Stegostoma tigrinum: one gene and its partners. The protein of the gene in region 3 purifies or fractionates together with the protein of the main gene of each other region. This does not show direct contact. Links are inferred from orthologs where the notes say so. Each region holds a gene or a part of one and is shown on either strand. Other genes may lie near its edges.

Region 1 (8,158 bases), on a different chromosome or scaffold from region 3:
TCCAGCATCTGCAGTTCCCATTATCACTGATACAAATCCAGGCCAGACAGTTATTGCCCTATTATTCTAGTCATGATCATCTCAGCAATAACCTGCTTGCTGATGCTCAATTTGGGTCTGCCAAGGCTACCCGACACATAAGAGCGAGCAGATATCATGAGATGAGGTGTGTCTAACTGGCCTTGACCCCAGGACAGCAATTATTGACACCTACATTGAGACACTGACTACAGTTCAAAAAGATTTCATTGACCAAGAACAGTAGCAGGGACTGCAGGAAACATTGGAAATGGGGGTCGTGGGGTGAGGGAAGAGAGAAAAACAGGCATGGACACTTCACTGGTTGGAGTCATATCTGGCACAGAGGAAAACGGTTGCTGTCAAAGGTCATTCATCTCAGCAGAAGTTCTTCAGGGTAGTGCATAAGGCCCAACCATCTTCAGCTGATTTAACAATGACCTTCACCTGATCATAAGATCGAGGTGGGGCATGCTTATTGACAATTGCACAAGGTGCAGTAAAATCTATATCAACTCAACTACTGAAGTAGTCCTTGTTCTTATGCAACAAGGCTTGGACAACATCCTGATCTGGGTTAACGACTGTCAAATAACATTCATGCCATACAATAACCACCTCCAACATGACAGAATCTAACCATCACCTTTTGAGATTAATGGCGAAACCCCCACTGTCAACACCTTGATGGCGGTTACCACTGACCAGAAACTGACTGAATCAGCCATAAACACACTGAGACAACAAGAGCAGTACAGATGTCAGGCATTCTGCAAAGAACAACTTAATTCTGGGCTCCCAAATGCCTGCTCACCAGGTACAAGTTAGGAGTGTGATGGAATATTTTACACTTGCCTGGATGAGTGCAGCTCCAGCAGAACTCAAGTAGTTTGACCTTATCCAGCACAAAGCAGAACACTTGATTGGTACCACATCCAACACTTTTAACCTTCACTCCTTTCACCAACATACAGTAGCAGTATTCTGAGATAATGGGAACTGCAGATGCTGGAGAATCCAAGATAACAAAGTGTGAAGCTGGATGAACACAGCAGGCCAAGCAGCATCTCAGGAGCAGTATTCTGTGCTACTTACAAAATGCACTGCAGTAACTCACCAATGCTCCAGTAACAGCACGTTCCACACTCATAAGCTCTATCATCTCAAAGAACAAGGACATCAGAACACCACCAGTTGCATGTTCCTCTCCAAATCACACACCACCAGTTTAGGAATACAAATACTGTATCTTCACTGTTGCTTGGTTAAAATCCTGGGACTCCCTGCCTAGTAGCAATATGGATGCTCCTATATTCCAAGGATCACAGCGGTTCAAGAATCCTATTCACCACCACCTTCTCTAGGGCAACAAGGAGACCTTACAGAAATTTATAAAATAAACAGCGGTATAAGAGTTAATGGTACTTGTCTTTTCTCTAGGATGGGCAATTTGAACACTAGGGGGCACAATTTTAGGGTGAGATGAGAGACTTAAAAAAGATGCAATTTTTTTTACATAGAGGATGGTTCACCTGTGGAATGAACTTCCTGAGGAAGTGGTGGATGTGGGTACAATTATGATGCTTAAAAGATATATGAATAAGCACATGAATACGAAAGGTTTGAAGCGATATGGACCAGGAGCAGGGACTAGTTTAGTTTGGGATTATGCTTGGCTTGGACTAGTTGGACGGAAGGGTCTATTTCTGTGCTGAATGACTCTAAAAGTAAAGACGGGCAACAAAAGCAGGCACAGTCAGAGATGCCCAGATCCCAAGAACAAATAAAAGAAATTCAGCTAATGGTCAAAAAAAATGCCAGGGTAACATCAAGAGTTCACTTTTAGACAGTGAGGCCAGAGTGAGGGATGGAGTCTGTGAAGAAGAACCAAAGATGACAGCTTTGTTCTTCCCAATATTCAACTGTTAAGTACTTGACAGTTATAGCATTAGGCAGTTGACAGTTTACAAGTGTGAAAATTAAAACGTCTCTCAATGAAGCTGAGGGCTTGCATTGATGGGCAGATGAAAGTAGAACTGCTTCAGGCTAACTTGGAGAGAGACTGGGTGATGTTCACCACAATTCAAAGTTGCACCAAATTGAGGAATATGAAATCCAATTTCCCATCATGACACTGATAGCCTAAAATCAACATTAAAAGTATTACTGTCTCAGGTTGAGATTGTGGGCTCAGGTCCCAATTTGGAGACTTGAACAGACATAATTTAGTGGTTTCTCCAAAACTGTTGGTAGTGCCATTTTTGAATTGAAACATTGAACTAAAGTTGCACCTGTTTTCATGAGAATGTAAATATCACAAGACCCCACTCTGAAGAAGTAAGTTATCACTCAGTTAGCACTTATCGTGCTCTGAATTTATTGACACCTACATTGAGACACCAACTATAGTTCAAAAAGATTTCATTGACTCTAAAGTAATTTGGATTGACTTAAGGTTGTGAAATGCTATTTTTTTAAAAAGAAGAATTACAATTAAATAAAATTATTAAATTACAGAGACTGAAACTATCAAGTCATCTTTAGGTACGTTTATACATATGCCAAGCACATGGAGTGGAAAGAAATGCAAAGAATAAAAGTTAACTCAAGGCCGGGGGGGAGCAAAGAAGCTGACTCTTCAGTGGGTCCTTACTGAAGGAGGAGTGCAGCCGCCTGTTGGAGGTGTATTTCTTTTTCATTCGAAACAGGGCCTTCGAGTTAAGTAAATGATTTACAAATGACTTAAGCACCTTGCTTAACTTGCAGCAAGAAGCCAGACAACTTCTAGAATCGACATAACAAAAAAACAGGAACAGTCTGAAACGAAACGAGTTACCTGTTACCCTTCAGCTCCACTCGCTGCAGCGAGCTCCTCAAACAGACCCGCTGCTCCTCACCCTCCTCCGGCAGCCCCAGCCAACCCGAACGCACACGTGTGTGGTACCGGAAAAACGAGATGCAACGCTCCGTCTCTTCCCCTATCTCCTCCGCCCCAATACTGAGGTTCCGGGTGCCGCGTTCCTGTGGAGCTCACCGTAAAAAGGGAGAAGGGAATAGAGATGCCAGAGAGTGGGGGCCAGGGCAGGACGGGCAAGAAGAGAGCGCGGAGCCTGTAAACAATTAGGTAAAGAACCTTGCCCGGGAATGGAATGCGGCCCGATCCGGGCAGGGTTCCAATTGTTTGTTGCAATTTGTTGTAAATGGTTATTGCCCAGTCAGGCGAGGAGATGGCTCCTTTTACTCTGACCTAAGCGACCAGGAAAAGCGTTCCGGGGCGCAACAGCATCAGTTGGTTCGACTGCTGTCCTCCACCAGCCTCCCGTCTTCCTCCAGTTTGCATGTTCCGCCATCCACTTGCTTTGTGCCTTTCCCGTGCTAGTGCATCTAGGCCCCGAGTCCCTTTTATTAATTGTTGTCCTGGAAACTGAATCGGAAAACCTCTCCCCTAGCTTGGCAGTGATTACAGGGAGAAAGGATGGACCATGATTGAGGATCAAAATCTATTGCAGAATGAAAATCTATTCAGAAGGAAAGTGGAATGGAAAATGGAAATCCCTTAGCTTTTAATTTTAATTTAAAAGGTACAATGATGATTAATGATGACTGGTTAAATGTATTTATCTCCAATCACTTTGTGGATTTTATTCTAATTTTGAAGTGTTTCACGTATTCTATCAGTTTTTTGTTGTTTTTTTTCTACTGGATGTGAATAAGGGTATAATGACTTAAAGGATTTATCTTTGGTGAGGATTGCAATATGTCAAGGAAGCTGCCTGCACAGACAAGATAACCGTAGCATTATTCACAGCAGTCTGTCTGCCGAGTAACTTCACATGTCGTTTCTCACCAACAAACCGAGATCTAGTCCGTCTGTCTCTGCATTAACAACATTTAATGTTGTTTACATTATTACATTTAACATTAAATGTTAAACAACATTTTAATCCACCAGATTTTTCCTGTTATTCTTCTGGCACGGAATGTTTTAAGCAGAAAACGCTGGAAATTACTGGACAGATGAGCAAATATCTCTGCAGGGAGAGCAGCAGAGTTTACGCTTCAGGTCGATGACCATTCATTAGAATTCGCAAAAGTTAAAGATGTTTAAGGTTTTTATTCAGTGAAAGGATGTGTTAAAGAACAGAAGGTCAGGGTCTGATGTCAAGAGGGCATTTAAGTGACAAACCTCTTACAGGGTGTGAAAGGCTTCAAAATATCTGGGAGACACCGCATGTTACTTCTTCTGGGCCACAGTCTGGGCAAAACTGTGGAATAGAGGCAGGTAGCCAGAGGCTTTTCCTCCTGACACAACCTGCTTTTGGGTGATATTTACATTTGCCATACCCCTTTCCTCGCAAACTCTGTGGGAAAATTGTACAATTCATTTACTTAGCACCTTGACAGAAAGTTTTAACCACACCTATCTGTGATGGATTTCAAGATCTGATCTCTACATGCTTAATATTTTGAAAATAATCTTGTGAATTTGTTGGTTGTAATTTCTAATTCCAGTATCTTTAGGAATGTGGCATTCTTTCCATTAATGTAGTCAGTCAACAGCATTGCTGCTAAGATAATAAAATGTGAGGCTGGATGAACACAGCAGGCCAAGCAGCATCTCAGGAGCACAAAAGCTGCCAGAGGAATAGCATTGCTGCTATTCCTCTGACAATTAAGCAATTCGAGATATGAGGGCTATCCACTACAAATGAGAAAAAAATGCTAATACAATTGCATTTAATTTAATTTCACTACTGTCTTGTATCACAGATAATTCACTTCTAAATATTTTACAATTAGGTATTATATTTAACCAGTGTTAATAAACAGCTAGCATTCTATCTAAATTATGAATAACTTGGAGGGTACTTTCTTAATAATGAGGAGTATAAAATCATGTAAATCATTGTTAAAGTTTGACATTACTGATACTTAGCAGATATTAAGCAGTGTGTAAGCAAGTTCTGAATGCACTTTCCTTGCTTGCCCCAATTATCCTGGGAGTCTCAATGTTCTATTTTTTTCCAGAGCTGAGACACAAAACCTCATGTCCAAAGTAACTGCATGACCACTAACCTTCACCTCAAATATCACTTTGTCATCCCTATTTTTTATTCACTGCAATTGACATCATTCACATCTTTACTTTTTCAACACTTTGTTCATTGGCTTCCTAATCTCCACCATAAACTTCAACACGTCCTTAAAAGTATAGCATGCTCACCATTCTGCTATAAGTCCCATACATCTACTACGCCTGTCCTTGTCAATTTTTAATCACCTCTCTATTGCACTGAAACATTAACTTCAAAATCCTTGTCTGTGGATGTGAGTTTGCTCGCTGAGCTGGAAGGTTAGTTTTCAGATGTTTTGTCACCATTCTAGGTAACATCATCAGTGAGCCTCCGACGAAGCGCTGGTGTTATGTCCCGCTTTCTATTTATCTGGTTAGGTTTCCTTGGGTTGGTGATGTCATTTCCCGTTCTTTTTCTCAGGGGATCGTAGATTGGTTCCAAATCAATGTGTTTGTTGATTTAATTCCGGTTGGAATGCCATGCCTCTAGGAATTCTCGTGCGTGTCTCTGTTTGGCTTGTCCTAGGATGGATGTGTTGTCCCTATCAAAGTGGTGTCCTTCCTCACCTGTATGTAAGGATACGAGTGATAGTGGGTCATGTCGTTTAGTGGCTAGTTGATGTTCATGTATCCTGGTGGCTAGCTTTCTGCCAGTTTGTCCAATGTAGTGTTTGTCACAGTTCTTGCAAGGTATTTTGTAGATGACGTTCGTTTTATTTGTTGTCTGTATAGGGTCTTTTAAATTCATTAGCTGCTGTTTTAGTGTGTTGGTGGGTTTGTGGGCTACCCTGATGCCAAAAGGTCTGAGTAGTCTGGCAGTCATTTCGGAGATGTCTTTGATGTAGGGGAGAGTGGTTCTGGTTTCTGAGCCTGTTTTGTCTGTTTCTTTGGGTTTGTTGCTGAGGAATCGGCAGACTGTGTTCATAGGGTACCCATTCTTTTTGAATACGCTGTATAGGTGATTTTCCTCTGCTCTGCGTAGTTCCTCTGTGCTGCAGTGTGTGGTGGCTCGTTGGAATAATGTTCTAATGCAGCTTCGTTTGTGGGTGTTGGGATGGTTGCTCCTGTAGTTCAGTATTTGGTCCATATGTGTTGTTTTCCTGCAGAGGCTGGTTTGAAGTTCCCCATTGGCTGTTATATTTGGAAAGTTAAGATGAACAAAATTGTAATTCAGGAGTTCAAACTGGGAAATTACAGTATAAGTTGAATTTTCCTTTCTTAACTATTTTTAAAATGCTCAATGACCTTGTACTTGAGCAACTTTTATTTTTAATTGACTTGTGGGATGTGGGCATTGCTAGCTGGATAGCATTTATTCCCTATCCCTAGTCGCACTTGAGAAGGTGGTGATGAGTTGCCTTCTTGAAACGCTGTAGTCCGTGTGCTGTAGGTAGACTCATGATGCCTTTAGGGAGGAAATTGCTTGTATGAAAGTGAATCTTGCTGCTGTTTTATATCCCTCCTGACATTTATTTCCCCTCTTTTATTGAAATGTACATAAAAATTATGACTGATGTAAAATAGTTTGCTATTCACTGTCATTCTTTTACAATATCAAGTGTACTCCCAATCTGTCGCACACTTACCCTTCATTTGTGGTATTTTCAAATCCCTATGACCTCAGCACAGCTTATTTCACTGCTCTGAACTCTTTAAAAACTCTGCTCACTACTATTTCACTCTTTATTGTGATATTTCTTTCCACATTTACCTCAAGCATTGACTTGTATGGTCTTTTGTTTCTTGCGTTTATACCACAAGAAAGCTAATGGAATGTTGTCCCGTTTCCAGACTGGAGTACAAGAATGCAGACTTTACGCTGCAATTATATGAAAACCTGACTCACCCCTGCTCTCCACCCCACTAAACTTTGGAAGGTCAAAAATACTTGCAAGGTGGTAATCCTTGAATCACACATTATTTTTTATTCTAGAAACATGAAGGATACTCTGCAGCAAAGGGAACAGATATACCTTCATGCCCGTGATGTTATGTTATAGTTCTGAAAAGAATTTTTTAAAAAGATAAAATTATGGATGACTTTTTACATTAGTTAAAAAATGTATTAGATAAGGTGAATTTCTGGCAAAGCGATATTTGTTTGAAATGATGTTGAATGTTGAAACAAATGTCTTTAGATCAATGGGTAATGTATATTTGAATTAAATATGATTTCTGTCTCTGTCTGTGGTTAGTTGAGTTTTTACCCAAAGTGAAGGTAAGGTGGCATTTATTATTCTAAATTAAAATAGTCAAATTAAAGCTCAAGAGCCATGAAGTTTCACTGCAATAAAACATAATCAGTTGGTTACAAAAATAATTGATCAGGTATTGGGATATTCTGAGCTGGAATTTCTTATAGAAATATTGGATCATCTTCATGTTCACCCAACCCCTACACCTTTTCATCTTCTTCACCCAGTTTTAGAAATAGTGCTGGATGGATGACAATCTCAATTACCCTTTTTAAGACAAAACCATTGCATAACCAGGGAGGGAAAAAAATATCTTTGAATTTTATCTTTTACTTCAACAACTTGCATCTTTATAGTCCATTTGATGCAACATAATGTCGTGTCCAATGATTCTTACCCCTGTGCTCAGATCAAAACATAGCATAAACAAACTGCTCAAAACATTTTCTGAAGAAGGGTCTCGACCCAAAACGTCAGCTTTCCTGCTCCTTTGACGCTGCTTGGCCTTCTGTGTTCATCCATCTCTAAACCTTGTTATCTCAGATTCTCCAGCATCGGCAGTTCCTACTATCTCTGCTAAAAGCACATATCAGAAGTATTTCTTGGAACCCTGCACGCAGAATCACATTTTGACTAAAGAAAAGCAATATCAACTGGTCATTTAGCTTTAAATTTGTGAAGGAATTTACAAAATTTCTTGTGTGAATTCGAAGCTGTGATGAGTGACTTTATCTCAACTGCATTTGAGACATCCTGCTGTATGAATAAAACCACCTACCCTCCAACTGATTGATTGATTGATTCTGTACCATTTTAGTAAGTCTCATGTTATGTCAGAGTTTCTTTCCCATACTAGGTCAGCTAAAGGATG
Region 2 (7,446 bases), on a different chromosome or scaffold from region 3:
GAGAATAGTTATTTGACCACATTGAGTGGCTGGAGCTGTGGACGGACCCACTATGGAGCATTTATGATGCTGAAAACCAATTGCATGATTAGCGAGCTGGTCCCAAGTAATGGCTACACAGGCAGAAAAATGTTGGGTGACGACAAGGAGCCTCGTAAATATGAGCAGGCAGTGCAGAAGTCTTCTTTGGCCATCCTCCTCTTAAACAGATATACTGTGTTGGATACCGTTGAGGAGGTGTGTGGCAGGATAATGACAGGAAAGCAGCAACATCAAGTTTGTCGCACGACAGTTGGTTGCGCTGCACAGCAGGGGAGAAAAATGACTGAGAAAGCTTTACTGATCAGGGATGTGATTGGAAGGGGAACTGACAGACGTTTCTATGGCAGCAATTGAGACTCTTGAATAGTATCAAAAATAGAAGTTGCTGGAAAAGCTCAGCAGGTCTGGCAACATCTGTGCAGAGAAATGAGAGTTAATGTTTTGGGTCTGTGACCCTTCCTCAAAACGGGTCTTTTGTTTTTTTATTTCATCTGGAATGGTCTGTTGCCTCCCTGGTGTCTCAGAGAGGTTTCAAGGCATTCTGAAAGGGGAGGGTGAACACCAGCAATCATAGTATATATCAATGCCGACTACGTGTGTAAAAAAGGAGTAAGGTTCCACAACAGGAATTTAGAGTGTTAGATAGTGGATTAAAGAGGAAAACTGCTAAAGTTGTAATCTTCGGATAACTTTCAGTGCCATGTGCTAATGGGAATAGGAATAGGAGGACTGGTCAGATGAAGGCATGGCTAAAGCGATAGTGTATGAGAGAGGGCTTTAGCCTTTTGCGTCATTGGGACAACTGGGATAGGTCAGATCTGTACAAGCTGGATGAGTTGCACCTGAACTGGAATGCGTCCATTATCCTTGCTGTGAGGTTTGCTTGCACTACTCAAGAGATTTGAAACTAATTTGGCAAGGGGAATGGGGCACAGAGTGAATGTAAAGTCAGGAGCAAATCCAATCAGAGAAAGAATGAATGATAGGACAGTCTAACAGGTGGACCAGATATGGACAGAAAAGGCACACAGAACGTCCAGAAAGTTAAATTGTATCTATTTTAGTGCAAGGAGATGGACTGGTAAGATGGATGGACATAGATCATTGACCAGCATGTGGGAATATGATATTGTTGCAACCTCTGAGACATGTTTTAAGGAAGGACAGGACTGGCAACTCGACATTCCAGAGTATGGAAATGTCGGGTGCGCTGGGGAGAATGTAACAGTGGTAGGGGCTCTGCACTATTGATAATGGTAACCATCACTACAGTAATAAGGGAGCATGTATTAGAAGGATTCTCAAATGAGGCCTTCTGGGTAGAGCTTAAAATACAAAAGTGAGTGCTTACTTTGCTGGGAGACACAAGTCTCTAAAGTCAGAGAGAAATAGAAGGGCATTAATTTAGGCAAATCACAGAAAAGTAGGAGAGAAACAAGGTTGTAGTTGTGAGTATTTGAACTTTGCTAACGTTAACTGGGATTGCCTTTGTGTGAAAGGTTTGAACGGGTGGAGTGTTTAAAAGTGCATTCAGGAGAACGAAGCCGGTTATTGATGCACAGGTGCTACTTGATAGCACTGCTGAAGACACCTCCCAACTCTTTCCTGATGTTTGAGAGTGCACTGATGGGCACTAACTAGCTGGCTTGGATTTGTCTTGCATTTGTGTACAGGACATACCTGGGCAATTTTCCACATTGTTGGATAGATGCTAGTGTTGTAACTGTATTGGAAGCGTTTGGTTAGGAGAGCAGCAAGTTCTAGAGACAAGTCTTTGGTACTATTGTCGGAATGTTGTCAGAGTCCATAGCCTTTGTACTATCTAGTACCTCTAATCATTTTTCCTGATATCATGTGGTGTGAATTATATTGACTGAAGACTTGTGTCTGTAATACTGCTTACTAGTTGCTGGTTAAGTGGTTGAGGTTTCAGTGGGCAAAGATTTTGGGGATAGTAACCAAAACTCAGTAAATTTCAATTAACTTGGAAATGGATAAGGATAGTGTAGAAGTTAATTTTCTTAACTGGGGGAAGCATCAAATTCAATATTAGACAGGATCTGGCCAACATCAACAGAGCAGTTACTTGCAGGTAAGTCTACATTTGGAAAGTGGGAGTCTTTTAGAAGCAGTAGTGAGAATTCAGGGCCAGTGTGTTCCCCTAAGAGTGAAGAACAAGGGAAGCAAGTTCAGGTGACCCTGGATGTCAAGGGAAGAAAGATCACTGGACCCAAAAGTCAACTCTGCTTTCTCTCCAATAGATACAACCCAGACCTGCTGAGTTTTTCCAGCAATTTTTGTTTCAGATTTCCAGCATCAGCAGTTCTTGGATTCCCACCCCCTAATCGCACGAGTTTCTCAGACAGTTTCTCATTTTGCTGCAGGGAGAAGCTTTCAGTACTTGGTCCCATTAATTAACCAGAAGCACAGCACGTGAGGGTATGAACAGAAATAACAAGGTGTTGAGATAATAGGAACTGCCGATGCTGGAGAATCTGTGATAACACGCTGTGAAGCAGGATGAACACAGCAGGCCAAGCAGCATCAGAGGAGCAGGAATGTTTGACATTTCAGGTCAAAGATCCTTCTTCAGAAATGGGGGAGGGGAAGGGGATTCAGAAATAAATGGGGAGGGCAGGGGAAGGTGGATAGAAAATGGATAAAGAAAAAGATAGGGTGAGAGGAGACAGACAGGTCAAAGAGGCGGGGTTAGAGCCAGTGAAGATGAATGTAGGTGGGGAGTTAGGGAGGGGCTAGGTTGGTCCAGGGAGGACAGACAGGTCAAGGAGGCAAGATGAGGTTAGTGGGTAGGAGAGGAGGGTGGGGCTTGGTTAGGGAGGCAGGGACTAGCTGGGCTGGTTTTGGGATGCGGTCGGGTGAGGGGAGATTTTGAAGCTTGTGAAGTCCACATTGATACCATTGGGCTGCAGGGTTCCCAGGCGAAATGAGATGCTGTTCCTGCATATTTCAGGTGGTGTCATTGCGTCAAGCGGGAGACCCAGGATGGACATGTTGTCCAAGGATCTGGGGGGTGGGGGGGAAGAAGAGTTGGAATGGTTCATGACTGGGACGTGTAGTTGTTTGTTGCGAACTGAGTGGTGTTCTGCAAAGCGGTCCCCAAGCCTCCAAGATAACAAAGTGTGAAGCTGGATGAACACCAAGCAGCATCTCAGGAACACAAAAGCTGACGTTTCAGGCCTAGACCCTTCATCAGAGAGGGGGATGGGGAGAGGGTTCTGAAATAAATCGGGAGAGAGAGAGAAAAGAAGATAGGTGGAGAGGAGAGTATAGGTGGGGAAGTAGGGAGGGGATAGGTCAGTCCAGGGAAGACGGACAGGTCAAGGAGGTGGGATGAGGTTAGTAGGTGAGAAATGGAGGTGCAGCTTGAGGTGGGAGGAGGGGATAGGTGAGAGGAAGAACAAGTTAGGGAGGCAGGGATGAGCTGGGCTGGTTTTGGGATGCAGTGGGGGAAGGGGAGATTTTGAAGCTTGTGAAGTCCACATTGATACCATTGGGTTGCAGGCTTCCCAAGTCGAATATGAGTTGCTGTTCCTGCAACCTTTGGGTGGCATCACAATGTCAGAAGATGATGCAATGGATTTGGAGGTTGGTGGGGTGGTACGTGAGGACGAGGGGGATTCTGTTTTGGTTATTATTGCGGATAGGGGATGTGAGGGATGAGTTGCAGGAAATGTGGGAGACACGGTTGAGGGCATTTTCGACCACTGTGGAGGGGAAGTTGTGGTTCTTGGGGAAAAAAAGGGCATCTGGGATGTTCGGGATGGAATGCCTCATCCGGGAACAGATGCGTGGAGGCAAAGGAATTGGGAATAGGGTATGGCCTTTTAACAGGGAGGTGAGAGGAGGAATATTCTAGATAGTTGTGGGAGTCGGTAGGCTTAAAATGGATATCGGTTTCCAGAGCTGGAGATAGAGGGGTCCAGGAAGGAGAGAGATGTGTCAGAGGTGCAGGAAAGCTGACGCCTCGGGTCTGGACCCTTCTTCAGGGAAAGGTGCTGCTTGGCCTGCAGCGTTCATCCAGCTCTACACCTTGTTATTTCAGATTCTCCAGCATCTACAGTTCCTACTGTCTCAAACTCTTTCACAAAACGAACTACAATACCCAGAAGGCAGAGCGTGCAGTGATGACGACAGGTGTGAGCTGGATGGCAAGTCCCGGTGACGTACCCGGCGAGTTTCTCCCCGAGGATGGGAGTGCAGAGATAGAGGGGAACGCTGACTGGTGTACCACATCACCCGAGAAGCACAAAGAAATAAAGCGGCGGGTCGATCGGAGTGAGGGAGAAAGCGCGAGCCCGGGGTGGGGGGCGGGGAAGAGAAATAATAAATAAATAGAAAGGGAAGATGCCGCGTGTTTACGTCGGGAGGTTGAGTTACCAAGTTCGTGAGAAGGACCTGGAGAGGTTTTTCAGGGGTTACGGCAGGCTGCTGGAGGTGGACCTGAAGAATGGGTGAGGGACGCGCGGCGGCGGCGGGTGCTGACGAGGTTGTGATAGGAGCCGAGGGGCCCCACTTTCCCCCTCTCTTCTCACCGCCCTTTTCTCTCTTCCCCTTACCGCTATCGCTGGAAGTTTACTGCCTCACTCCCCATCACCTCGGCGATTGTGGGAATGCCGCCTCCATTTTCACCCCCTCCCCTTTGAGCGGCGTTGGGGGAAGGGGGTGCCGCGTGGATTGGGATAAAATGGCGGCTGGGAGAGGGGAGGGTGAAGCGAGGCCAGGGCGGGAGAGAAGTGGCTCCAAACGCGAAAGGGTACACCTTTATTTAGTCATTCTCGGCCCCCCCATATACTTTGTTTTTATTTGATTTCTCTCCCTCTTGCCTTCACCGCCGAGCGCCTTGCGTTAGCTTTACTTTTCCACATTCCGCTCGATGCATTTCCCGTGCAAATGTCACACCAGGGACCACCTTCCTCCCTCTGCTCAGTCCGCTCTTCCAAAACGTGAGGCGGTTTCTTTGTTTATACGCTCGACTTCACGCCATCCTCTCGCCCTCGCCGCCGACAAATGCCCATTTGTCAAAATCTCGCCTTTAATAGTTAGTTCATGCTGTCCACGTGGATTCGGCCAATCATAACAACATTCCGTCGTCGACCTGTCGCTTTTCCACACTCTATTCGCGTTTTAACACGACTGCCCAGGTGCTTTCCTTCTGCAAATTGTGCCCTTTTAAATTCTTGCAGAATCACTTGCTGTGTGGTAGTATTTGACCGGCTGTCGCAAAAGCTGTGGTTATGAAAGTGATTGGGCAGAACTGCAGGAATTTTAAACTTACAGTTTTGGATCCGAAATGCAGAAAAAGTAAGGTAGCGCTTAACATCAGAATTGTCGTTTGTTCCAAATGAGGCCTTTGAAGACTTGAGACGCATTTTATTAACACAGAAGGTGGATGGTTCGTGTGTGTAATGAGCTTCTTGAGGAACTGTGTACAATTCCAGCACTTAAAAGGCATTTGGATAAGTCCATGAATAGGAATGGTCTGGAGGAATATGGGCCAGGAGCAGGCTGGTGGGACCTGTTTACTTTGGGATTATGTTTGGCCTAAACTGGCTGGACAGAATGGTCTGTTTCCTGGCTGAATGACCCTATAATGAAAAGGGATTTTTGTTTTGCCTCCATAATTAGAGGGAACTGAGTTGAAGTTAGTTACTAGTTGGTGAAATAACAAAGGAATGTCTGGTTGAAATTGATCTACAGTGTTGGAACATGAAATTTCCTATCAGATGATAGTGAAAGAATTCATATTTCAAAAGGGCGGTGGATATTTGAAACATATTAGGGTTTGAAGAATTTTCAGGATAAAGGACTTAATGATTTGCCACTGACCAATAATTCCGAGAGGAAATTGCTGTCAATGTTAAGAATTTCATTTAACTTGTTGGACTTCTCCACAGCAGTCAGGGTTGGAATATCATAGAAACAGAGAGACTATTGTGTCAAAATCTGTACAATCTCATTTTTCACTTGTTAGCATTGATCCACTGATTTATTTTTAAGTTCTACAACAAATGTTTTGTTAACTGGCAGCTAGAGGACCAGGAGTGTATTGGTTAATCAAGTATGCTGATTAATCAAGAGGTCCATGAAATCAATGTAAAAGCACGCTCCTAAATATTTGAAATGTAGTGCAAGGGGTGTGTGTGTGTTTGTATGTATATCACTTTTTACAGCATTAATCACTTAATCTTGCAACTTTGCCTTAAGTTAAACTTAACACCATATAGTCTTCGCACCTTCAACTGACTACTCGAACATCACTGAGATGACAGTAACATGGTAAACCTCTGGTAATTCAGGTATATAATTCTTGCTGATTTATCAAGGGTGCCGGTTAAAACACAATTTGCTGTAGTTACATTTAGAAGCACTTGCACTTGCATCCTCTTTGGTTTATTAATTCTCCACATTTTGAATTGACTTGCAGAAACCTTTGAACTATCAACGATAGTCCACTTTGAGGGTGCAATAATTGCTGGAGGATATCTACCAAATAACCTAGTTGCAAGATGTTCATCATGTGAGCCATGCAAAGAGTATTTCATAATGTTCTAATTGATTCTTTTCAGCTATGGGTTTGTTGAGTTTGAAGATGCACGTGATGCAGATGATGCAGTCTATGAACTGAATGGGAAAGAACTTTGTGGCGAGCGCATAATTGTGGAGCATGCAAGAGGACCACGTCGTGATGGAAGTTATGGCGGTGGTTATGGTGGTGGTGGAGGTCGCAGTGAGTGGTTTAATATCTTGCTTAATATATTCTTGCATTTAACTTTTTTGTATTTGCTTTTAAATATTTCTAATGGCATTTTTATTGTTTTAAATTATATAACATTGTTTAAATTATGTAAGTGTTCATCCAAACCTTGTTAACAAGACCTTGATCTTTTAATTAAAAGAATCCAGTGAGGCTAAGATGTCTGCCCGTTCCGATTGACCTTGGCTTTACCTTACAATATGTAGCCTTTGGCGTTTGGCTGACCTAATGGAAGCCATGACGACAGCTGCCTTTGCCATTAGACCCTGGGTGATGAGGATGCCAAGGGTTAGACATTACTGGTTAATCTGAACTAGGTGCCTGTTACCATATGTGTGTTGTACCAAACTTCTAAAATCTGCTAGAATGTAAGTACATGATGTAATATCTAGTTTTAATATTTGGCAAAATAAATGCAGACATGCATGGTAACATAATTGTAGCATTTAGTGTAAATGCAAAATCTCTGAAATTAATAATTAATTTGAGTTTACTTTATAGTCTAATCTGTTTTTATTTTCCTGTAAAATATTGCAGATTTATTGTAAGTTAAGTGCTCACTGACTCTTTGTTAAACTTCTTAAGGCAGTGGTGGTTATGGATATCGAAGGAACGGAAGGGAGAAATAT
Region 3 (7,748 bases):
GGGGCATGACTTCAAACAGATCTAGCAACTCAAGAATGGGCTCCTATGAGATACTGTAGACTATTAACAGCAGCAGGATTGTTGTCCAGTACAACTCTGTAACCTCAAGGCCCAGCATATACTATGCTTTGTTATTACTATCAAGCCAGGGCATCAACCCTGGTTCAACAGAATGTCGGACAGCATGCCAGCGGCAGTACCAGACATACCTAAAAACACTTCATAAAGCAACCAAGCAGGGCTACCTGCACAGCAAACAGTGAAAGCAGCAAGTGATAGACAGAGCTAAGTGATCCCACAACCAGTGGGTCAGAGCTAAGCTCTGCAGTGCTGCCACATCCAGTTGTGAATGGTGGTGGACAATTATACAACTCACTGGAGGAGGAGGCTCCTCAATGATGGAAAAGCCCAACACAACACAATCCAGCCATGTTATCCACGACTTCACAATGTATCTCTCTGGAACAAGATATTGATGGTCAGAACAGCAGAAACTTACTGGCATCCAGATTTTTGAAGGCGTGTATCAATTGGGAAATGGTGTTTGCCAGTTCTTCCTGTAACAAACAGTAGAGATTTTATTCAGTTGAACCACACAAGCCTAGATCTCCAATTTTCAATTTGTGATCAACTCTTGTCCAGATGAAGGGGGCGCAGATGCATACTTACTGCCTGCAGAAAGGAGACTGAACAACCCTGTCACAGAGTTACATCACATGAATGCTTCAGTGTGCCAGTGGCAACACTCACCCCCACAAACACATTCTGTGCTTCCTACAACCTGGGACTCTTCATTTTCTGAGTGAGGCAGACAAGCCAAACTTCAAATCAAGAACTTTTGACTCAATATTAAGGTAGTTAGAAAACGTCAACAAAAAGACACATGGCCACTGGAGAACTGCTTGTTAGGTCAAAGAGAGCTCACTGTCTGTCACTTGACAGTCCTGCTGCACACAGTCCAGGTCAGACCCTGCAGCACCTAAGGAACATTAGCAAACCCAATGGGTTTTTCTGACAATCGACAATGGATTCATGGTCATCATTAGATTCTCCATTCCAGATATTTACTGAATTCAAATTCCACCATCTACCATGGTGGGATTCAAACCTGGATCCCCAGAACGTTATCAGGGCTGTGGGTTAACAGTCCAGCAAGAATATCACTAGGCATCACCTCCCCATCCACAGTCCCATCAGGGTTTGCTAACAAAAGTACACCGAAAAACCACACACACAAATCAAGTAATGAACTTCAACAGGAACCATCCCAGTGCGCACACATGAAGCTGCGTGCGAATACTATTTTTTGGGCAAGATCACACTGCAGCAACAGAGAACTACGCCAAGAGGAAGAAGAATACCTCTTCCAAGTGTTCAAGGATAACAGATATCCAAAGAACTGGGTCAGAAGAAGATGACTACACGAATAGCATCAGAAAGATTCTACACACTACCGTACATTCATCACACTACCCTACATCAGGAACATGTTGGAACTCACCACAAGACTCCTACGAATGCTGGGCATCAGAGTGGCACAACCCTACAACAACTGCTCACCTGAACTAAGGACCCACTCCCTGCCATGGACAGGGCCAATGTCATCTACAAAATCCCCCGCAGAGACTGTGAGAAACTCTACATCAGACAAACAGGAAGGAAACTAACAACAAGAACACCAACTGGCTACAAAAAGACACGATGAATACTCACTCATCTCAATCCACATGGACACGGAGAACCACAACTTCGACTGAGACAACACCAAGATGCTGGGACAGGCTAGGCAGAGACAGGCACGGGAATTCCTGGAAGCTTGGCACTCCACAAAGCATGCTATTAATAAACACGTCAAACTCGACCCCATATACATTCCACTACGAAGGAAAACTGGAAGTGATGCAATCCATCTCAACGGACCCAAGTTTAAAAACCAGACAGGAAAACACATTGGCTCTTCATCGGAGGCTGCACTGAGGATGTTACCAAGCACGGTAATAAAACATTTGCAAAACAACGAACCAGCTCAACAAGCCAAGCAACCTCAACACCCACAACCCAAGCTATAGATCTACTCTAAAACCTTTGCAACCTGCTGTTGGGGATGCCCTCCTATAATCATGACTTACCTGTAAAAGTGGTTTGTCCTGCATCCACATGCAGTAGAAAATGCCCTTCCACATTTTCAGTAACTCTTCCTGACTGAAACCACCTTATAAAAAATAAAATAGAATGAATTGTTGGAGTTCTGAAAACTACAGCATCATGCATACACCAATGGACAATAGCCTATACAATTACCACATGTCAAACAGCATCATGCAATAAAAGACGACTTTTCTGGTAGCTTCTGAGGAGATGCATATTATTTCACATCCAGTGTAAGTATACTTATCATGATGTAGAGAAGTCTTGTCTCTCCAGTCTGCAACCTCCTTCAGTGTCATCCTTCTTTCAGAAATTGTCTTTTCCATTGCTTCTTGTTCAGTTCCACCTGGCTCCACATATCACCAGCTGTTACTGCAACCTGACAACTTTAGTCACCTCTTGTTCTTTTCCAAATCTTACTTTTGTCAGGTTAATCCAGGATCAGTTGGTGGACACCTCCTTCTGTTCACTGTGAGCCCACTAACACCTACACCCACAGAGAATCAGCTCACTGAACTCATCCTCTCATTGCCCTTCCACATCTACACTGCCCCAACAGTCACCGGTGGCATTCTCCAAAAGTGACGCCTATAACCCTTGTACCTCCCTTTACCTGGTAACCCAGATCCTCTTCAGCACTCATCAGTCAACAGCAGAGTCACCAGACTTCCGCTTCCCATTGGATCCCCATGTCGTCCAACATCATCTGTCCTAACCCATCCCCTCTCCCCGCCCTATCCCTCTCTTCTTTTCCACCCTGCCTGAATATTGACAGGCCTGAAGAGAGCAGATGTAGAGATGTTTCCACTAGTGGGACAGACTAGGACCCAATGGCTTGGCCCAAAGTGATGAGACGACCCTTTAGAACTGAGATGAGGAAGAATTTCTTCAGCCAGAAGCGGTGACTCTGTGGAACTTATTACAGTAGGGGGTTTTGGTGTTGAAGTGACAGAGTGTACTTCGGACAAAAATAGATAGGTTCTTGATTAGTAAGGGGATGACTAGTTATGGGGAAAAAGCAGGAGAATGGGATTGAATAACATATCAGCCATGACTGACGGTACAGCAGAATCGATGGGCTGAATGGCCTAACTGCGCTCCTCTATCTGACTGTCTCTCTCTGCCCACCCCTCAGGTACCCACGTGTGAATGTCATGCGCCCCCCGGTGCGTTCCGGGGGCAGAGGGACGGAAGCCCCCCGCTGTTATTACCTGAGAGTCGTTGCGAGCGGGCACTCAGGTAGCGGCGGAGTTTACGAACGGCTCGATCCCGAAAGCGCTTCTCGTTGGAGGCGAGCCGCTGGGCAAACTGAACCTCGGCGGCGGCCGCCATGTCCGCACAGGGAATGCTGGGAATGCGGAGGGCCGAGGGCCGCCCCTGCGCAGTGGATGCCCCCTGACGTCAGCGCGCAGCGTCACCATGGGAACCACGCAGGGCCTTCTGTGTTGACCCTCGTCAGTGAGCAGCGGTGGGACTTCGGCCACTCTTGCCGGATTGGGGCCTGGAGCGGCTAGCCCAGCTATCAGGGGCACAATGACCGCGGTAACGTCAACTACTGTCCACTGTCAGCACCCACTGGAAATCCAGCTGAGTCCTGAAGAAGGGTAATAGCCGAAACGGTGACTTCTCCTTTCCTCCAGCCTCCGCCTGTCTTCCCTTCCACCCCGGGGCCTCTGCAGTTTTTTCCTGTGTCAAACTCACTGGAAATCGCGCCTTGCTATTTTCCAAGTTATCACAAAAATATTAAAATTAGTACATAAAATTTTCCACCTTACCTGTTGTCCAGATCAAAGTCGATAGAAAGCACTGCCCAGGTTTCTGTAATTAACAAGAATGACTTTATAACCAGCGAATAGACCCTTTGCAGTTAAACAGTGACAAACGTTCTTCCCTTACAACGCCCCCCCACTCCCCACAAACACACACACACACACACCCCTCCGTCACATACAGAGACAAAACCAGGCTTTTGTTATCCATAATTGGTCACCAGGCCATAAACCATATAAACCAAAAGAACTGCAATTGCTGTAAATCAGGAACAAAAACAAAGTTGCTGGAAAAGCTCAGCAACTGTGAAGGAGAAAAACAGAGTTAAGTCACTGAACCCGAAACGTTAGCTCTGTTTTCTCCTCCACAGATGCTGCCAGACCTTCTGAGCTTTTTCAACAACAGTGTTTTTGTTCCATAAACCATATAACACCTTGTAGACAACCCCTCAGCTTCAGTCTGACCACAAACTAAACTTCAATTGCTGCTTGTTTCAAACACTGTTTCCTGCATGCTTGCCATGAGGCTCATGTGACTTGTTTTTCAAAGCATGCAGTAAACTTTTCAAATAATGGTTTTAAAACAGTCCTTTCTGCTTTCAGGACACAATTGAAAGAAAACACGCAAAAATAAAAATACACACACTTTATAGCATGATTACCTTCACCATTGACCATGGTAATATTGGTCAATAGCCATGGTCATACAGCACGGAAACAGACCCTTCGAGCAAACCAGCCTATGCTGACCAGGTTTCGTAGAACACAACACACAAGAGTACAGCACAATACAGGCCCTTTAGCCCATGATGTGGTGCTAACCTATTATCCTACTGAGATCAATCTACCCTGCATATCCTACATTTTACAACCCTCCATGTGCCTATCCAAGAGTCGCTTAACAGTCTCTAAAGTATCTGACTCCACTACCACTGCCGGCAGTGCATTCCACACACCCACCACTCTGTATGAAGAACCTACCTCTGACATCTCCCCTATACCTTCCTCCAATCACCTTAAAATAATGCACCCTCGTAATAATCATTTCCACCCTGGGAAAAAGTCTCTGAGTGTCCACTCTATCTATGCCTCCAGGCGTAGCCTTGCCAACACCCTTAACAGCTGCAGCATAACCTCCCTGTTTTTAAACTCCAGTCCTCTAACAATGAAGGACAACATTCCATGTATCATCTTAGTTACCTGCTGCACCTGCAAACCATAGCCCACCCTGGCACAACATCCATGGCTGCAGATGACCAAATGTCTTTGATAGGGCCTCACAGTTTCTCCCCTAACTTCCCACAATGTCCTGGGATACACTTGATCAGGCCCCAGAGATTCATCCACCTATATGTTTTTTAAGACCTTTACCTCTTCTTTTGTATTGTGGACTGTTTTCAGGTCATCAATATTTATTTCCTCAGTATTTATTGACTTCCTTCCATTTCTTTCTCCTCAGTAAAAATTGACATGAAATAATCTCCTGTCGCCTGAGATTCCACACAGAGGCGATCTCATTGATCTTTAAGAGGTCCTATTCTCTCATAACTTCCTCTTTTGCTCTTAATGTACTTGTCGAATCACTTTGGATTATATTTGAGATAATAAAGTGCGGAGCTGGATGAACACAGCAGGCCAAGCAGCATCTCAGGAGCACAAAAGCTGACGGTTCAGGCCTAGATCCTTCATCAGATCATCAGATTCATCTGATGAAGGGTCTAGGCCCGAAACGTCAGCTTTTGTGCTCCTGAGATGCTGCTTGGCCTGCTGTGTTCATCCAGCTCCGCACTTTATTATCTTGGATTATATTTGACCTTGCCTGCTAAGGCTATCTCATATTCCCTTTTTGCCCTCCTGATTTTCCACTTAAGAATGCCTCTACACCCATTGTACTCTTCACTTGAGCCCAGTTGTCTATACCTAATATATACCTACTTATTTTTGACCAGAGCGTCAATATCTTTATTAATCTATTATTCCCTACTCTTACCAGCCTCGCTCTTCACCCTAATTGGAGCAGAATGCCTCTGAAGTCTCACTATCTCACTTTTGAAAGCCTCAAACTTGTTAGTCATGGAGTCATGCAGCATCAAAACAGACCCTTCGGTCCAACTGATCTGCAGTGACCGTAATCCCAACCTAAACTAGTACCACCTGCCTGCACTTGGCCCATAACCCTTCAAATACTTCTTGTACAGGGCCATGGTGAGACCACACTGAGAATATTGTGTGCAGTTTTGGTATCCTTTTCTGAGGAAGAATGCTCTTGCTCTTGAGGGAGTGCAGTGAAGGTTTACCAGGCTGATTCTGGGGCTAAGAAGTTGTGGAGCTGGATGATCACAGCAGGCCAAGCAACATCTTAGGAGCAGGAAAGCTGATGTTTCGGGCTCTGGCATGTTATCTCGGTTTCTCCAGCATCTGCAGTTCCTATTATCTCTGATTCTGGGGATGGTGGGTCTGAAGTATGAGGAGAGATTGACTAGGTTGGGATTGTTTTCGCTAGAGTTCAGACAAATGAGGGGGGATCTCATAGAGACTTATAAAATTCTAACAGGACTGGACAGGGTAGATGCAGGGAGGTTGTTCCCGATGGTGGGTGTGTCCAGAACCAGGGACACAGTATGAGGATTTCGGATAGACCATTTTGGATGAGGGTGAGGAGACATTTCTTCACCCAAAGAGTGATGAGCCTGTGGAATTCATAATCACAGGAAGTAGTTGATGCCAAAACATTGAATGTATTCAAGAGGCAGCTAGCTATACCGCTTGGGACAAATGGGATCAAAGGTTATGAGGAAAAAGCAGGATTAGGCTTTTGAGTTGGACGGTCAGCCATGATCGTGAAGAATGGCAAAGCAGGCTAGATGGGCCGAATGACCTCCTCCTGATCCTATCTTCTATGTTTCTATGTTAGTCATGTACTTACCTAAATGTTTTTTAAACAGAATTCTACCTGCATCCACCACTTCCTGTGGGAGTTCGTTCCACACATGAACCACTCTGTAAAAAAAATCTGTATCTTTTTAAAATCTTCTGCCTCTCACCTTAAAAATATGTCTCCTAGTCTTGAAATCCCCTGCCCTGTGGAAAAGACACCCGCCATTCACCTTACCTATATCCATTGTGATTCTATAAACTTCTATAAGGTCACCCCTCAACCTCCTACACTTCAGTGAAAAAAGTCACAGACTTTCCAGCTTCTCCTTATAAGCCAAACCCTCCATTCCTGGCAACATCTTGGTTAATCTCTTCTGAATCCTCTCCAGCTTAATAATATCCTTCCTACAACAGTGCGACCAGAACTGGACATAGTACTCCAGAAAAGGCCTCAGCAAAGGTTTTTTACATCCTCAACATAATGTCTCAACTTCTGTACTCAGAGGTCTGAGCAATGAAGGCAAGCCTGCTAAACACGCTTTTAACAACCTTATTTATGTGTGATGCCAACTTCAAAGAATTATTTACCTTAACTTCCTACCTAACTTCTTACATTCATTCTGCAAATCTTCAACCCTTTCCCTAACTATGTTGTTCTTACCAATGCCCATGACCATTGTTGCATTGCCCATTAACACTGGTAATCTTCACAATGAATCTTGGTAACCTGTGCCAGGGCTTTGCCCACAACACTGACAGACCAACTTCTTCGGATAGATGCCCAAATGTTTGGCCAAAGAAGGAGGTTACCTTTTTATTCATTCAGAGTCACTGCCAAGACCAGCATTTGTTGCCCATCTCAGTAAGGGTCGATTAAATTGCTGTGGACCTGGAGTCACATGTAAGCCAGAACACGTAACGGTGGCAAATTCCCTTCCTGTAAGGACTTGAGTG

The links. Proteins that work in one complex are often made in the same cells at the same time.
Region 1: the proteins of ribosomal RNA processing protein 1 homolog A (region 3) and lyar purify together in Homo sapiens (co-immunoprecipitation; 3 studies listed by IntAct, with this or other methods). This does not show direct contact. The link is inferred for Stegostoma tigrinum from reciprocal best matches to the Homo sapiens genes RRP1B and LYAR.
Region 2: the proteins of ribosomal RNA processing protein 1 homolog A (region 3) and serine/arginine-rich splicing factor 6-like purify together in Homo sapiens (affinity purification with mass spectrometry; 3 studies listed by BioGRID and IntAct, with this or other methods). This does not show direct contact. The link is inferred for Stegostoma tigrinum from reciprocal best matches to the Homo sapiens genes RRP1B and SRSF6.

Annotation. Positions count from the first base shown.
Region 1 is NC_081354.1:55,231,645-55,239,802, forward strand, and holds the start of lyar (cell growth-regulating nucleolar protein), read right to left. Parts: upstream 3,181-8,158; 5' UTR 2,855-3,180; intron 1-2,854. Other genes in the region: zbtb49 (zinc finger and BTB domain-containing protein 49), read left to right, coding at 8,156-8,158. UniProt on the Homo sapiens protein: Plays a role in the maintenance of the appropriate processing of 47S/45S pre-rRNA to 32S/30S pre-rRNAs and their subsequent processing to produce 18S and 28S rRNAs. Also acts at the level of transcription regulation.
Region 2 is NC_081372.1:22,887,327-22,894,772, forward strand, and holds the start of serine/arginine-rich splicing factor 6-like, read left to right. Parts: upstream 1-4,266; 5' UTR 4,267-4,407; coding exon 4,408-4,514; intron 4,515-5,032; exon of another isoform or gene 5,033-5,109; coding exon of another isoform or gene 5,110-5,204; intron 5,205-6,629; coding exon 6,630-6,790; intron 6,791-7,402; coding exon 7,403-7,446. UniProt on the Homo sapiens protein: Plays a role in constitutive splicing and modulates the selection of alternative splice sites. Plays a role in the alternative splicing of MAPT/Tau exon 10. Binds to alternative exons of TNC pre-mRNA and promotes the expression of alternatively spliced TNC.
Region 3 is NC_081365.1:1,312,452-1,320,199, reverse strand, and holds the start of ribosomal RNA processing protein 1 homolog A, read right to left. Parts: upstream 3,494-7,748; 5' UTR 3,481-3,493; coding exon 3,360-3,480; intron 2,213-3,359; coding exon 2,130-2,212; intron 558-2,129; coding exon 500-557; intron 1-499. UniProt on the Homo sapiens protein: Positively regulates DNA damage-induced apoptosis by acting as a transcriptional coactivator of proapoptotic target genes of the transcriptional activator E2F1.